Alligator mississippiensis: one gene and its partner. The protein of the gene in region 1 purifies or fractionates together with the protein of each later gene. This does not show direct contact. Links are inferred from orthologs where the notes say so. Each region holds a gene or a part of one and is shown on either strand. Other genes may lie near its edges.

Region 1 (8,702 bases):
CATTATGGTCCAGGAGATATGCAAGAGGCAACAATTCTTGTGGGTGATCTCTTTTTTTGGGGCCAACTGTATAGCTGGTATAGACACAGGCCTATTGTTGGTATAGACCAGTAATTCTCAACCGGGGTGCCTTAAGATCCTTTCTAAGGTGATGTGGGGTGCCAAGCAATTTTAGTACGGTTAGGTTTACAAACATGAGTCAAGATAAACCCAGAGATTTCAACTAGAAATCCATAGCTGTGGTCTTTGTGAGTTCTTTGCAACAGAAAAAAATGCTCTTATTTTTCTATAATCAAAAAAGGGTGAAAACTGAAAGCTGGCATTTTCCTAGGGGTGCCTTGAGTCTAAAAAAGTTAAGAACCACTAGTACAGACACAGGTCTATGTCTATACCAAACATATAGTTGGTTCAATAAAAAGATATCACCCACAAGAATTCTTACCTAAATGTAAAAAAGGTAATTAAAGGTAGCTTTGAATTTGGATTTGGCTGATTATGGTTGCAGCATAAATGGAAACCCAACCTGATCTAATTAAGAACTGAGATCACTCAAGGACAAAACTCAAGACACTTCAGAGAAGCTAGAAACTTTTCTGCTACATAGCTAATAAAACTGACCTCAAGTACAAAGGACGTAAATAGACCTATAGCAGGAAAAGCGATACAATCCTACACACCTGCTATTTCTTCTAATGCTTGGATACAAATTTCCACTTCATATGCATTAGCGAAAGAGTTTATTGTTTGAAAATGAGAAAGTAAATGCACAAACTATAACAGAGTTCTGTCAGTATTAAAATGACCCCTCCCCCAATATTCCTATCCAACCAGCTCAATATCTACTTTAACACATCCCAAATGATTAGGCCAAATCTTTGGATGAGATAAAAGTAAACAACAGTGTAAAAGCAATGCTGTAGCTGTGATGGTCTAGAAATTATGTGAACAATTAGGATTTCTTAGGCTGATCTCTTTTATGGGACTTTTGTGGTTGGGACAGTGAGACCAATGGTTGGGACAGTGAGACCAGCAGAAATTTTGTGGTTGGGACAGTGAGACCAGCTCCCAGATGCCAGACAGACCTGAGGAAGAACATATTGCAGTTGAAAGCTGGTCTCATTTTATCCCAACTACACAGGCCTATATGATGCATAAGGGGAACTTGGGTCTTAAAGCCAGACAGCAACAATTAGCCCCCTCCGTTATTACAGACATCTATTAGGTATGCATCAACTGAGTTTGGGGGACAACTAAAGGGAGTGAGGTCACAGGTTTAAAACAAATGCTCCAAGGAGAGACACCAAATAGAGCTGACAGCTCCCACTGGCCCTCGAACAAGTCCAAGGAGCCAGTGGATGCTACCCAGTGAAATTAAGCCCAGAGATCAGGTAAACAGCCCCGCAGCCCCCAGGGGCCTCCCAGCCAGAGCCTCCTTCCTGGTCAAGTAGATGGCTAACTTGGCTAGGATCAGCAAGTCCCAAATATACAGGAATTTTAACATGTCAAGAAGAGTCACAGGCTCAGGCCCACCAAGGAAACTATCAGCCCCCTTTAGCACTAGAAACCACTAATGATGTGTTACTGAATACCTGGGACAAATAATGATGAAAACAAGGACAGGAGTGGAGGTCACAGGTTAATAACTAGTGTGCCAAGCAGGAACACCAAGCAGAGCCACTAGACAGCGTCCACTGGCCCTCAAACAAGTCCAAGGAGCCAACAGATGCTGCCCAGTGACACGAGCCCAGAGATCAGGAAAAGAGCCCCATAGCTCTCAGGGGTCTTCCCAGCCACAGCCTCCTTCCTGGTCATGTAGATGGCTAGGTTGGTTAGGATCAGCATGCCCCAAATACACAGGGGGCCCAGGAACACAGGCCACCTAAAGAAACACTGGTCACCCCCTCCTGCTGAGGCTCTGGCTGCACTACTCTCCGCACCTTTCATTTAGAGACTCCCTGTCCATGGCCCCATCAAGTCCCAGGACCTCCTGGTCAACCTCCTCCTGGCCCTGACCAAGCTGGCCATGTATCTGACCAGGAAGGCTTTGGCCGGGAGGATCCCCAGGGACTGCTGAGCCACTCTCCTTGCCCTACTTCGTTCCTGTCTCTGAGCAGAGTATCGCTGGGCAGCCTCCGTTGGCTCCTTTGACTCATCTGAGGGCCAGTGGGTGCTGTCCCGTGTGCTCTGCTCAGTGCCTCCCTTGGCATTGTTTTGAACTTTTGACCTCCACTCCTGTCCCTTTTTTCATTAGTTTTGTCCCAAGGAATCAAATTTCACCTTTCCTGTAGCTTATCCATCCAAGGGAGGCCAATAAAAGATATCACCTGTGGCAAGTGGGACTTGGTGGGCCTAGGTCCATGTGACTGAAGGTGACAAAAAGACCTGGTCAACCTCCCCCTGGCCCCAACCAAGCTATAAATATATCTAACCAGAAAAAAAGGTTTAGGTCTGCTTTCCTATCCCTGGTCCATTCCCGTCTCAAGGCAGTTTCATAGGAGAGCATCCATTGGCTTGGTGGACTCATCTGTGGGCCAGCGGGTGGTGTTCGGCATGCTCTGCTCGGTGCTCGCCTTGGTGCACTTGTTCCGACCCCAGGATCCTCACTCCCACCTGTTTTGTCTTTGAGTTGTCCCCAAAAAATGAGTGATAAGACCTTAGCGGCCCCATCCTCAAGGGGGCCCACAGCTCTGCTGGGTGGGCTCCGGCCCACATGCCCAAACAGCAGTCAAGAGGCCTGAGGAAGTCCCTGCCCCTTGGAGGCAGTGTTGCCAAGTATATAGTAAGTATCATATCTGTACAATAACTTCAACCTTAGCATAACGTATGATCAATAAGAGCAAAATCATTCAAAATGTACTACGGACGCCTCCATGAAATCCTCTGAAATATGAACTTCCATTTCTATCCAGGAGAACTTTTACAGTCTTTTCTCTGATGCCTGATGAAGGGTGTTTGTGCCTGAACGCTTGCAATTAAAGAAATTTTGCTGAGAAAACCTTGTTTGTCTAATCAAAGATATCACTTCTGTCCACGAGCCCCGATTGCTTTTTCCTCTAGACCAATACCGCTACAACCTGGACACCCTTCAAAGCATAGCATGATTTTTGAAGCAGCTCATTGATGCAGCACCTGTAAAGACCAAGCTGCTCTCAGGGAGTCAGTCCTAACTTGACTTTCAGGTTTGCTGCCAGCACTCTCTCATCACTGCCTGCCTCAAAATAAAGAAATGCTTCAACTCTGAGCACCCAGGTCTCCATCACTCCGCGATGGCTGACAGTCAGGTGTCAAGGAAATAAGGCGGCTGCTTCTTTGCAGACGTATTTGCCTATTTTTCCACTGGGCAATAGTTTTTTAGCAAACACGATCATGTTGAGCTTCCAGGAGCATAATGTCCTATTGAAGACCTGGCCACGCTGCTCAGAGGAATGAGGCGCCCCTGGCAGCCAGGCCCCACTCGGGGGTTTCCAGGTGCGGGGCGCTGCCCACGCCCGCCCACCCCCGCCCCCCACGGAGGGGCGGGGCCTGCGCCCCCGGGGTGTGGGGCGGGGACGCGCGTCTGCCGCAGGTAGAAGGGGGGGGACGAGCCCACCGCTGGGAGCAGGGGGGGGACGAGCCCACGAGGTGAAGGGGGAAGCGCTGACAGCTGCGCACTCGGTAAATCGTCCCGCTGGCCCGCCCAGGCCGGGGCAGGGCGGCAGCTCCCGGCGCGCACGCGGTACCTTATCGCAGTAGAGGCCGACCAGCTGCTTCATCCGCCAGTGCGGGGCCGTGAAAACATCCACCTCCTCGGGGAAAGGAGCCATGTTTTCCCCATAGAGCCCCGCCGAGGCCAGCGGCGGCGGCAGGGGCGGCAACGGTTCTGCGCATGCGCCCAGCCTCGCTGAGGGCGTCGCGAGAGCCGCCATCGCCCCATGTCACGTGACTGGGGGCACCTGAGCGGCCGCCGCCGCCGCCGCTGCTGCCTGGGTGCGCAGGCGCAGACGCGTCACTCTGTCCCGCGCGTGCGGGACTGGGACGGAGTGGTGGTTGGTGGCAGCGTTGGCAGGGCTTCCAGATGAAATGATCGCCTTGGAAGCTCGAAATTATGTGTTTGCTGGAAAAATATGCAAATAACTCTGCAAATAACTCTTATTTACTTGCTATTGCTCACTGCCCCTCCCAGTGAGTGGGAAATGGGGCATCCAAGCTGAAACATTTGTTTTGAGGCTGACAGCAAGCTCAAAAGTTGGTTAAGACGCTCTGAGAGTGACTTGGGTTTTGCAGATGCTGCGTCAATTATCTGCCTCAACTATTATCATACATTTTGAACACTTTTACTGTTATTGATTGTTCAAGGGCTGAAGTTATTGTACAGACATAATTATTTGTACACCTGGCAACTGTGCTCAGTGGTATGACCTGCTGCATGCCCTGTCCTGCAAGGGGTCTGGACATGCGGCGCCTGGGGCATGGGACAGCTGCCTCGCCTTGCCAGGCGCTAGCAGCCCAGGCTGCCCCTGTAGTCCCAGCCCCGTGTCCCTGCAGCTGGCAGAGCTCCCTCTGGAGACCCCCACGCCCGTAGGCAGGTACTCTGGAGAGAGATGCCCTTTGCTTCACCTTTCCAAAGGTAAATGACAAAGGTGGGTGTTAGAGGATCAGATGTGAAGCCCAGAGTCAGGGAGGGGGTCACTGCCACCCTAGTACCCACAGCTTTTCCTTGGTGTTACTGCCAGACAGGAAAGGGCCAGGAAAGCTGAGCCCCACCCTTGATTTCACCACCTCACCCTTCACTGTTTCATAAAATCAGAGAGAAATCATGCTGGAAGGGACCTGCAGAGGTCACATCAAATCCAGTCCCCGCCTGAGGCAGGACGCTCCCACCCCCTTCCAAATCATCCTTTACAAATCCAAAATCTAAACTCTTTGTAAAACTACTGTCAATCCTGACACAACACAAAACCTAACACCTGGCCTTGCCACAGGTAAAGTAGGGGGCCCATGGCAGACAAGTCACATCTAATCCAGGCCCCTGCTTGAGGCAGAATTACCCTTATCCAAAACATCCTCTACAAATCAGTAATCTAAACTCTTAGTAAAACTACTGTCAGTCCTGACACAATACAAGACCTAACACCCAGCCTTGCCCCAAGTAAAGTAAGGGGGCCACGGCAGCCAGTGTCCTGCTTCTGTAACACGTTGTTCATATACATACACCCAAGATCTCAGATAGAGGGGCCATGCCCCCTGCTAAAGAAGAAGGTAAAACCCTCTACAGTCTGTGCCAGTCTGACCATAGGGTAAAATTTCTTCCTGACCCCTACACAAGTTTCAAAATCAAATGAGCAAACTTGGGGGAGTTTCTAAATTGGTCAAGGCAGGCAATAGGGTCAATACAAACATCTGTAAGATACCCACCTTTGTATAGCACAATATTCTGACTGAAGAATCAGTGTTAGCATATATTAGCTACACTAAGGGTATCAAATTCACCCAGCTCTCTGGACCAAATTAGGGTTACAAGGGATCCTTGGGGGTTGGGCCAGGTGGTGGTGGGAGTGGGACTAGCGGCATCAGAGAGGGTAGGGGTTAATGCTGCCATCACTTGCCACTTTGGCCAATACACATCCTGTATGGAGTCCCCTATCCCAGATCTCAATGATGGGCCCCATGCCTGCCAACCCAGTCCCCAAATTCCCAGCCTCACTAGGAGACCTATGGATCGCATGAGCTCTGTGAGCAGGACCCAGCCTATGGGCCACAGGTATGACACCTTAGGTCTAAACCAAGAAGCCTCAAAAGGTAATTGTAAATGGGGAATCACCATCTAATTTAAGTATTTTAAATAGGAGGCCACAAGCATTTGTTCTTATCCCAATGCTATTTAACATATCAATTGTCACAACCCAAGGGTGTGATTTTGTTTGTGTGCGCTTCGGCACTGCTAAATTATTTCCTGCCACTCGGAGCTTTCTTTGCAGGGTGCATTTCTCAGTTGCAAATAGAAATGCACAGTGCAAAGGAGTTCCCACCACCTGCATGCAAATTTGTGTCCCACTATTGGCCAGTTCTAAATTATTCCCACGTGGCGGCTAGCGATTGGCTTGCTAGCCGTATAAGAGGCTTGAGCGGTTTCCGCCCAAGTTGGAGAACTCCGAGGACAGCCCCGCAAGGGAGGACTCCACAACCATCTGGAGGAGGAGGGCTTCACATCTTGTGAAGAACTCTAAGCGCTGCGGAACCTATCGAACCCAGCGCGTGCCTTAAGAAGGCTATAGGGGTCTGATCAACCTCTGGCCTCTCCCCGTCACCAAACGATCCCTCGATGAACCCCTTCCCTGCGCGCAAGTTCCACGGAGCCTAGCAAACTTCATGTGAGTGTATCCAGAGCTCTTCTCCGAGTTGTTTTCTTCGGTTGACACGATGGGCTTGCGTTTTTAGAGCCTTCAACCGGATTGGGCTAGAGTTCGCATGGAAGGAACTCTTGTCCGCTTTTCTTCTTTCCTGTCTGTAACTGCAACTCAAGCAAGTTTTCCTGCCTGCACCGCGACCATCTACAGTGTAAGTAAAATAATCTTTAATCAACCGCTAAGCGTCCATGCCTAATTCTAGTCCGCTGGCCTGCATTCCCCGACCCGTGTGCCAGGGCTGCTGGCCACAGCCCACCACGTGCCCCCGAGGGCCTCGGACCGCTCCCGGCCCGCACATCAATGACTTAGAGGAAAATAAAAAAAATAATCACAGGTAATGTTAACAAAAAAACCCAAATTTGGGGGGGGGGGGGGGTAAACAGTCAGGGCAGATTCATTCTGCAGAATGATCCAGATCATTTAGTAACATTTGGGATTGATAAACAACATGCTTTGTAGTATAGGCAAGTGCAAGTTTTCACATGAACATAAGTTACACAGATAGGAAACTGTCCTTTACAAGGTGCCTTGATAGAAAGAGATTTCAACCTAAGTATTGTGTCTTATTGTGTTTTCCTTGTGTTGGCTACAAATGTCCAACTCAGGATCCTTAAAATTCTAGTTTATTAGGCGGATTGAAACACTGTAAACATAAACCTTGGGGCTGGTCCCCACATACACACATGCACACATACACACACACAGTAGCAGGCTACAGAGTCAGGTATACCTATCCTACAAGCGCTGGAGTCTGTCGTTGAGGCTTCTTTCAGTGTGGTGTTATCTTGCAGAAGGGGGTTGCCGGCTGGTCCTTCTGGCTGGACAGGTCTGGTCGAGTTGGAGATCAAGAGGGCGCCACTGAGGGTCACTTTTCACTGCCTTTTATCTGTCCCTGGCAGACTTTGGTGACTCCCCAGTTTTCAGGTTTGCCCAATCCAGGGGTTGTTGACCCTCGTGGGACTTCCCCCCCCTCGGTGGCTACTGGATGGCATCTGTCAGCCCCAGGGGTCGTCTGCATGTACATGCAGGTTTGGGAGTCCGTTGATGAATTTTGAATAGGGCTCTGGGAGTGGTCGATGTGGAGATATTCAGCCCAAAAGTTTGTCTCTGGCATTGATTAACTCAGGCCAGGGAGAGTTCCCGGTTGTTACATTGTCTTCTATTGAGTTCTTCCCTTGGTTGATCTGCAGCTTCCAGGTGTTAATTGCTGCCTGCTTCCATGTTACACATTCAATCATGTTACACATTCAATCACTGATTCACTGCTCTTTCAGGGGCCAGCCTGATACAAGGAAGAGCAGTTTGATTCCTACCCTTGTTAACATTGTTACAATGTATAACTTACTAAAACACATTTAGTTGAAAGTTGAAAGGTGAGGAGTATAAAATATAAGCTACAAATGCCATGGCACACAAATAGATAAAAATACCAAACTACAAGGGGAGATACAAAATGCACACACACAAATTTTAAAACACAATTCCTTATCTTAAAGTGAAAGAGAGAGGAAGGAAGAAAAGGTAGAAAAAGAGAAACATATCCAAAGTGGGGAGGGCAAATGCAGGCAAGAGGAAAAGGGGGCTTTCTGCTACACTTTTACTGCCCCTTGAAGGCCAAAGCCCTCATGTTCAGCACTGCAGGGTTGTTTCCTTTGTTTTCCCCAGTTCTTGCAGCACTGGGGACTCCATTGTCTCTGCCATGAGAAGCCAGGGGCATTCTTGTTTTCTCTCCCTCCACAGGGCTGGACTGGGTCAAGTCAGAGGCAGAGCAAGTATAAGTTCTGCATACATCTACTGAAGGCAATTGTTAAGATCCACCCTGGATATGATTCCAGAGAATTATAATAATGAATAACTGTTAGTCCAACCCAGGAGCGTCCAGAGTGTTGTTGATGAACTCACAACATATCTTCTGGCGACAAGGATGGGATCCTTTGCTGAAAACACACCCCTAGATTGTGGAATGACATTCTGAGACCAGGCTGTGTTTTGTGATCAGAGGGAATTTTTTTTCTTCTTCTTCTTTTCTCTCTATTACGGCTGATGTTAGTTAGGATGGCTACACTGGGGCATATAGAAGAATTTGATGTGAGCCAGCACGCTTCTTGGGACTCTTATGTGGAAAGGCTATCCTATTACCTGGAAGCCAATGAAGTGGAAAACCCAGAACAGAAGCGCGCAATCCTCCTGACAGTCTGTGGTGCCAAAACATTTGCCATTGTCCATTCCCTCACAGTGCCTGCCTTATTAAACACTAAGTATTATGCTGAAGTAATTGCTCTACTAAAGGCACATTTTTGCCCAAGGCCATCCGTT
Region 2 (7,615 bases), on another chromosome or scaffold:
ACTTCACTAAGCACACTGCAAGGGAACCGGGGATAGATCACAAGACTTCCTACAAGTTCCAAAAAGCACAGTGTGGAAAAGTGTGGCAGTTATGACATGAAACCACCAACACCCACCCCCCACCAACAACATGAAGTGGGGAAGGGCAGATCACATGACATGCTCACGGAAAACTGCACTGAGCACATAGATACCTACCAACAGTGACAATGCACATTCAGAAAGCACCTTGTGTATTTAAGTGTCATACAACAAAAGAAAGGGGTAAGCGTCCATGAATGGATTTCTCTAAATATTGTGAAATTATTACAAAAGCTTAAAACTATTACTTTGTTTATATATTTAGCCTCAGTCTTGAAAAAGGGCATGGACTTACTGGGACTTTGCACCTCTGGGAATCAAGGTGAACAATGCTAACTCGGTACAGAAACTGCCTGCTCTAAATTTCTCATGGCCCTTTAAGACTCCTGTTTCTCAGAGCACCATATGCCTATCTTTGGCCCTTGGCAAATGTTACACTTAAGATGCATTCAACCAGTTAATTATTAAAAGTGTAAACTGGCTACATGTTCAGAAGGGTAATGGCACAAAAAAAAACCAGCCACAAAATTAGTACACAGTAAAAGAATAACAACTTTGTGGCTGGTTTTCATGATGTCTTAAAATGAACATGTGGCTGAGTGGACTGCACCAGGGTCTCCAACTAGCTCCATATGGTCCCTCTGGGCCAGCTGATTGTCTGCTGGTTCTAGGATGGCACCAGGGTTCAAACCCCAGTACAGCCCTAATGCTGCTGACAATCAGCTGCTCAGTGGCAGGATCAGGACTGGGGCCGCTTGGTGCAGCCCTGATACTGCCAACCATCAGCCAATAGTTGTCTGGCAGGGATCACACTAAGGTTCAAGCCTGGTATGGCTTTAATCCATCTGAGAATTATCTGATTGTCAACTGCTCCAGGGATTGTAGCAAGGCTCAAATTGGGCCCCAAAGCCAGCCAGGCACCCTTGCAATGCAGGGGGAGCCTGGGCTCAGGATCCTGGACTCCCCCTGCACTGGCAAGTAGGGTGTGATTGGGATATGATCCCCAATCCCAAATTCATCCCTCTGAAGGAGGCGTAACTGTTGGGATTGGGGATCAGATCCTATTGTCCTTTTAAGGGAATGTATGTCAGCAGCCTCAACCTCTCTGAAGCCAGGAGAAGCGAGGCAGTTTCGAGCTGCGTTAGAAGCCTGGCCACTGACAGCATTAGTCAGTCTCAAGAATTAAGGTTAGAGGGGGACAAGTACTTTACCAAGTAGACAGTGGAATCAAAGCATTCCTATTTACGTAGGCATCTGATTCACTCAGCTGATATACAGAGAAATGGTGTTTGTAAGCAAAAGGAAAAAAAAAACAGATCAGTGTTAGTGTTGTGCTATGTATTTAAGTAATTTATACATTTACTCAGCATGTGTAAGAAGTGGAGTATACAGAAAGAAAATGTTCATAAAAATACACTTCAGAATTCTTTTGCAGCAAGGCATAGTTTTTTGAAATGTGCTTAACTTTTTAAAAACACATTGAGTATGGATATGTACATTTTCCCACACTTCCATTAGATCCTCTAGTTCAAATCCATTGTCTCTCTTTTTTTTTTCTTTTTTTTTTTTTTACAAAGAGGCTTATGGTGTCATTGCAAGTAGACAGAATCCAGTCAAGACCACCAGGTGATTGCATTTGCCACAAGTGTTCATGGTCCAGGAAATATGCAAGAAACAAGGGGTTTCTGTTGGTAATACTGTAGGGGCAATTGCCACCACTATACTTTAGAATGAACTCCTACAGAAACGTGGTAAAGGATAGAAACACCTAGTCAACAGGAGAGAACAGTTCCCAAAGAACTATCCCTCTATTGTGGTTTCCTCAGTCCTTGTACTAGAGGGAATCTACAAAATACCTTTAGAAAACAGGTCTGGGAACAAAAATTCTAAGCTGTTCTGACCCCTAAAAATTATGGACTAAGCAATAAATAAATAAATAAATAAATAAATAAGGCTTATTACAATTTACCTGCTCTCTGTTTCTTTCCTTTTGAACGATTTTCTTTTCCAAAATTAGGTTATGTAGTTCAATTGTGCGTCACTGGTTTTCTAGATATTTCTGATACCTTCTTTACTCTGGCTTTTGCAAACCTCTTCCACTTCCACCCCCAGCTTATGACCTCTCACCACTTCTTTAAGCGGCTGTTTTCACAGACATGCTGAAGTTAATGTTTTATCTCCTGTCTAGCACAGGCTATTGGGGTGTCTTTCCTAGTAGTAAAGAAGGGTACTTAGTAAACTGTTCAGTTGGTATAATAAAAGGTGTTACTAAAAACCCCCCTTGCTTCTCATATAACGCAAAGAAACGTTTCTTTACGTATCCAACTTTCCAACTAAAGCTTTAGTGCCTAGTCACACAACATGCTGTTTGCCCACATAAAGAGAGAGATTCAGTATCTCAGAAGAGATCCTAAGAAATCCAAATTAGGAGGCAGATTAAAAAGCCTAAGAAATAAAATTAGTTGGAAGAAAGTCTAAAATATTATTTCTACTACAGCCATGTCATAATTATGCTTAAAAAGGACATCTATCCATTTTTTATACTATTACTATGTTGCACTGTACTTTCTAGGTTACTGACTGGCCTCAATATCACTAAAACAACAAGTGCGTACACACATCGCAGGATCTGGCTTTAGTCTCAGGCAACAGATCTGCAACGTACACAGTTTTACCCCACAACCATGAAATGTTCTGAGGACGCTCCATTCAGTTTAATACTCGCTAGGAACCAAAAGGGACATCAACTCACTGGATAAGATTTTTTTTTTTTAAAAAGTGCAAGATAAAAAGTCTGCCATGCAGCAAGTCAAAGACTGCCCGTTACACACCAAGCGCCGAGCATGAAAAGGAGTTATAATTACGGAGGTTTATGACACACAGGTTACAAAAGACCGGGCAAAGTTTGCAGAGAGAAGAGAGAAACAAATTATACAACAAGCCACGCTCATGAACTGGGTTCAAGAAGAAAGGAACTGAAGGGGCAGAGGCTGGTTCGGAGATCCTTTGCAGCTGAATGAAAACACAACTGAATGGTTAAATCGAGTTGGGGCGACAAAGAGCCGTCCACACCACCAGTGCCTCGTGCCCCCGCTTTCAGACACAAACCGTTACCCCCCGTTTCTCCCACCCACGTTTCTGAGAAAGCTCCGGGGACCTCACACGATCATCCCCAAGACTGAGAAGATGCTGGTGCCCCCATTACTGCCCCATCCCCGCGCGCTCTCATACGAGGGGGCCGGCAGCGCGGGCAGGCGGGCTCCCCCGCACCAAACAAGACTCCCCTCCGTCCCACAACACCCGCTGTGTTGCAGGACCAGGACCCCGGCTCCGGGCACCTCAAAGCCCGGCCACGTGGGGAAGACCCTCGTGTGAAACAACGCACATCTGCCAGGTGCTACAACCCCCAGCGCACACCCACACGTGCGTGCACACCCCCATGTGCACACAGACACATACACGTACACGCACATGTGCACAGACATGTACATCCCCCCACACATGCACCCCCCCATATGCATACCCCCATGTGCATCCACACACGTGCGCAGACATGCACACCTCCATGTGCATACATACATATGCATATACATATGCGCATGCGCGCGCGCGCACACACTCTCTCACTCCCCCCCGCAGCCGTTACCCGAGGCCGCAGCGAGGCCGGCAGCGCAGAGCAGAGCCCCGAGCAGCCACATCCCGCTTCTGCCCCGGCCTCGCCCCGGGCCTCGCTCTGCGCCTCGCAGGCCCCGCCCCCGCTCTAGCCCCGCCCCCGCCGCGGCTGCCAAGGCGACGCGGGCCCCGAGCGGGCCGGAAGCGGTTATGCGCGGCCCCTCCCCTTCTGCCCGGCCCCCGGAAGTGGCGGGCGGGCGGCGGCGACCATGGTGGGGCATGGGCCGGGGCCGGCGCTGGAGAACGCCAACCCGCTCGTGTTCCGGCGCTCGGGCGAGCGGCCCGTGACGGCGCGGGAGGAGGACGATGACCTGCCCGACGCCATCGATGACCGCGAGATCTTCGATATCCTGCCGGGCCGGACGGGGGGCGGGGGCGGGGGCTGGGGGCGGGGCGGGGCGCCGCTACACCGCGTTTTCCTTGACCTGCTACATCTCATCCGCTCCATCAACGACCCCGAGCACCCGCTCACGCTGGAGGAGCTCAACGTGGTGGAGCAGGTGCGGGTGAAGGTGAGCGCGGCCCGCACGTGCTTCCTGCCGCCGGGATTTTGGGGGCTTGTATGTCCTGGCCGGGCGCGCAAGTCCGGGCCTGGGGGCACGTGCCCCCCCGAATCGTGCGCGGGGCGGCTGCCGCTATGCGCTGTGCTTTGAGGCCCGCTGCCCCGAGAGCTGCGCAGTGCCACACGCACCCGGCTAGGTGCACTAGGTTGAAGCACTAGGATAATCGTGATGGGGGGGCAGCAGGGCAGGCCCTACGAGGAGAGGCTACGGGACCTGAACCTGTTCAGCCTCTGCAAGAGAAGGCTGAGAGGGGATCTAGTTGCTGTCTATAAACTTACTGGGGGGAGGACTAGAGGGGAATGGGTGAGACCCTGTTCCTCCAAGCACCTCCCGGAGTAACAAGGAATAACGGCCACAAGTTGTTGGAGAGTAGGTTCAGACTAAACATCAGGAGGCGCTGCTTCACTGTCAGAGCGGCCAGGATCTGGAACCAGCTTCCAAGGGAAGTGGTGCTGGCTCCTACCCTGGGGGTCTTTAAAAGGAGGCTTGATAACAACCTAGCTGGGGTCATATGAGCCCAGTATTCATTCCTGCCCAGGGCAGGGGGTCGGACTTGATGATCTGCTCAGGTCCCTATGACCCTACGTCTATAAATCTAAATTGCTAGTCTCAACTAGTGGAAAAGTCAGTACATTTTGTACATAGCAAATAATTTGTTTTTCAACAGGTGAATGATGCTGAAAGCACAGTTGCAGTGGAGTTTACTCCCACAATTCCTCACTGTAGTATGGCAACATTAATTGGCTTGTCAATAAAAGTAAAGTTGATCAGATCGCTACCTGAAAGGTTTAAGGTGAGTAATAACAGCAGCCTTGACAGGAGAAGGAAGAACATTAAAGAAAAGAAACTCTTTAAGGCTTCTCATTCCCTTTTGCTATGAAACAAGGAAAATACTCCAGGAAACTGATTAAATTACAAGCAGGCACAGTTATCAGTCTGATTCTTAGAATAAATTAGACTGAATGGGATCTGTGGTGAGAAATAGTATATAACATTTAGTGTTAGTGATCCTTGGTGGAAGGGAGATTATCCTCTTTTTGTAAAAGGGTAGTCTGAGGGTAAGGAAGAAAGTTTTCTACCATGACCAGTCCAAAAGGGGAGTTTACAACCAAAGTAGGATTAAAATATAGGAGTTTCCAATTAATGGTTTTAGGATCAGATGGCTGCACCATATCCCTATCCTAATGAAAGCTTATGCTGCTTTGAATATTGTGGAGGAGGGTCTGGCAGGAGATGGTAACTTGCCAAGGACTATGTTTTCTTGTTTCATTATGAAATTGTTTTGGTGGAGTATTAATGAGATGTCTCTGGACTAATACAGGGGAAAATAGTTTGACAAAACTACTTTAAGTAGCACAGCTAGAATTTATTTTTAAACATTTTTAAAGACTTTCTTCCCATTGTCTTCCCAACTTATTATAATATTTGAAACAAAGAAGAAACTGACCGGGAGAGGGAGAGGGACCATGGAACTTACCAAAGCCTAAGTATTGTCAGATTTGAAAAGTAAACTCTTAAATTGCTTTAATACATGTAGTTGCATGTGATACCAGCGAGTGTGTAGGCATGAGTGTGAAGCTGACAAACAACCCTGATGGGTTTTTTTGAGTGGGACTATAATACTAGATGCTGCTTTCTGAACTGCTGAACTAAAGCGTTTTTACTTTGACCTCACTTCACATCTGAGCACCAACCTAGTGCAAGTTAACAGTCTTATAAATAACTGGATTACATTTCATTTTACCTAGGTTGATGTTCACATAACGCCGGGAACGCACATCTCTGAGCATGCAGGTGAGCTTTTCCCCAGTGCTAAGATATATAAAAAGTGTTCTGCAAAGGTATTTCATTGTTTATAAACCTTGGAAATTAGAGAGATTAGATCTGAAGGTCACTGAGTGCAAGAGAGCAAACTAGAAGTCAGGGAAGAGTGTTACAGGATTCCACAACCCTCAGCCCAGAATCCATTAAATTCAGCAAAATGGATTGGGATGGTAGCTGAGGAGATTCAGCAAGAAACAAAGGGGTTGACATTTAGATTCTGGTCCCACAATGTGTTTCAGGCAGTTAAACCTACACAAAGCTATAGTGGATGAACTAGGGTTGTGTGTGGCACTGAGGTCCAATCATCTTGGAAAAAAGTGATGCTTAACTGCTAAGCACAATTCTGCACGCATTCAGCACTACCAAATTGTGAAAAACATGGGGCCCTGCCTACCGTAGCAACAGCCTGAGGAAGAGTCAGCTTGTATGTAAAACACTAACAATAGGTTGCCGTGCTGAGGTACCCTGACCAAGTGTTGTGGGACTCTTTCCTTACAGTAAACAAACAGCTTGCTGACAAAGAGCGAGTAGCTGCCGCTTTGGAGAATTCTCATTTGTTGGAAGTGGTGAACCAGTGTTTATCTGCTCGATCTTAACTGCCTGATAAGAAGCTCTGCTTTTCTGATATGGTGGGCTAACTTTGTAAATAAACAGTGCTGCTAGTATTTAGTTGGATATGTATCTATAAGCAAAATAAAGCTATTCTAATTTTGATTTTTATATAAGTGTTCTAGTACTCTTCCAAGAGTTAACCTATGGAAATTAACTTAAGAGTGATAGATAGCGTGTCCAAAATACTGTTAATGTAATATTACAGTTTTATTTTGTCAGAAGAGGATTTTAATATTTATAATATTTAATTCAGGAACAGCAACACAAATGTTTCCCCTCACAGTACAAAACAAATCATAAAATAAAGACAAATTTCCACATACCTTGGCCACGGCCCTCACTGTCTTAAACCAAGAATTATTTATATTCTGGATTTGGGAATGTATTGTGCACACTGAGTAATGGTTTTGGTCTCTGTGTTCTTGGCACATGAAGACAGGCATTTTCACTTGTTGTTTTGCTCATATTAAACTTCAGAAGTGGAGTTTTTTTACAGTTCACATTTGCAGACAAATTTGCAGGGTTTTGGGATGCTCATACAGCAATAAACATGCACTTTAAAAAAACTAGCCTATTTTCTTAAAGTAATTTTATATGCATGGTTTTATGGAGCTCTCCTGTAGTTGGTACATCTAATTTGTCATAAAATGTTAATCTGAATTACTTGGATTTTGTTGACAAAAAAGCCTGAGTGACAAACTTACAAAATGCTTCCTGTTTTGAAGCCTGATGCTGATGTGCTATCAGAAACGAAATAGCAAGTGATCTGAAGAGGCTCTGCATTCATTACAACTCAAGGAAGGGACAAATGTGCCTTCAAGCCAGTTCTGGTTCGACTTTGCTGCAACATCTTACTCTCTACC

Evidence for each region. The genes of interacting proteins can lie anywhere in the genome.
Region 2: the proteins of FBXL5 (region 1) and CIAO2B purify together in Homo sapiens (affinity purification with mass spectrometry; 3 studies listed by BioGRID and IntAct, counting the BioPlex papers as one, with this or other methods). This does not show direct contact. The link is inferred for Alligator mississippiensis from reciprocal best matches to the Homo sapiens genes FBXL5 and CIAO2B.

The regions. Positions count from the first base shown.
Region 1 is NC_081825.1:32,953,030-32,961,731, forward strand, and holds the start of FBXL5 (F-box/LRR-repeat protein 5), read right to left. Parts: upstream 3,869-8,702; 5' UTR 3,804-3,868; coding exon 3,720-3,803; intron 1-3,719.
Region 2 is NC_081833.1:62,366,464-62,374,078, forward strand, and holds the start of CIAO2B (cytosolic iron-sulfur assembly component 2B), read left to right. Parts: upstream 1-3,908; 5' UTR 3,909-3,962; coding exon 3,963-4,098; intron 4,099-4,185; coding exon 4,186-4,265; intron 4,266-4,983; coding exon 4,984-5,109; intron 5,110-6,064; coding exon 6,065-6,110; intron 6,111-6,638; coding exon 6,639-6,736; 3' UTR 6,737-6,769; intron 6,770-7,615. Other genes in the region: CES2 (cocaine esterase), read right to left, coding at 3,728-3,779.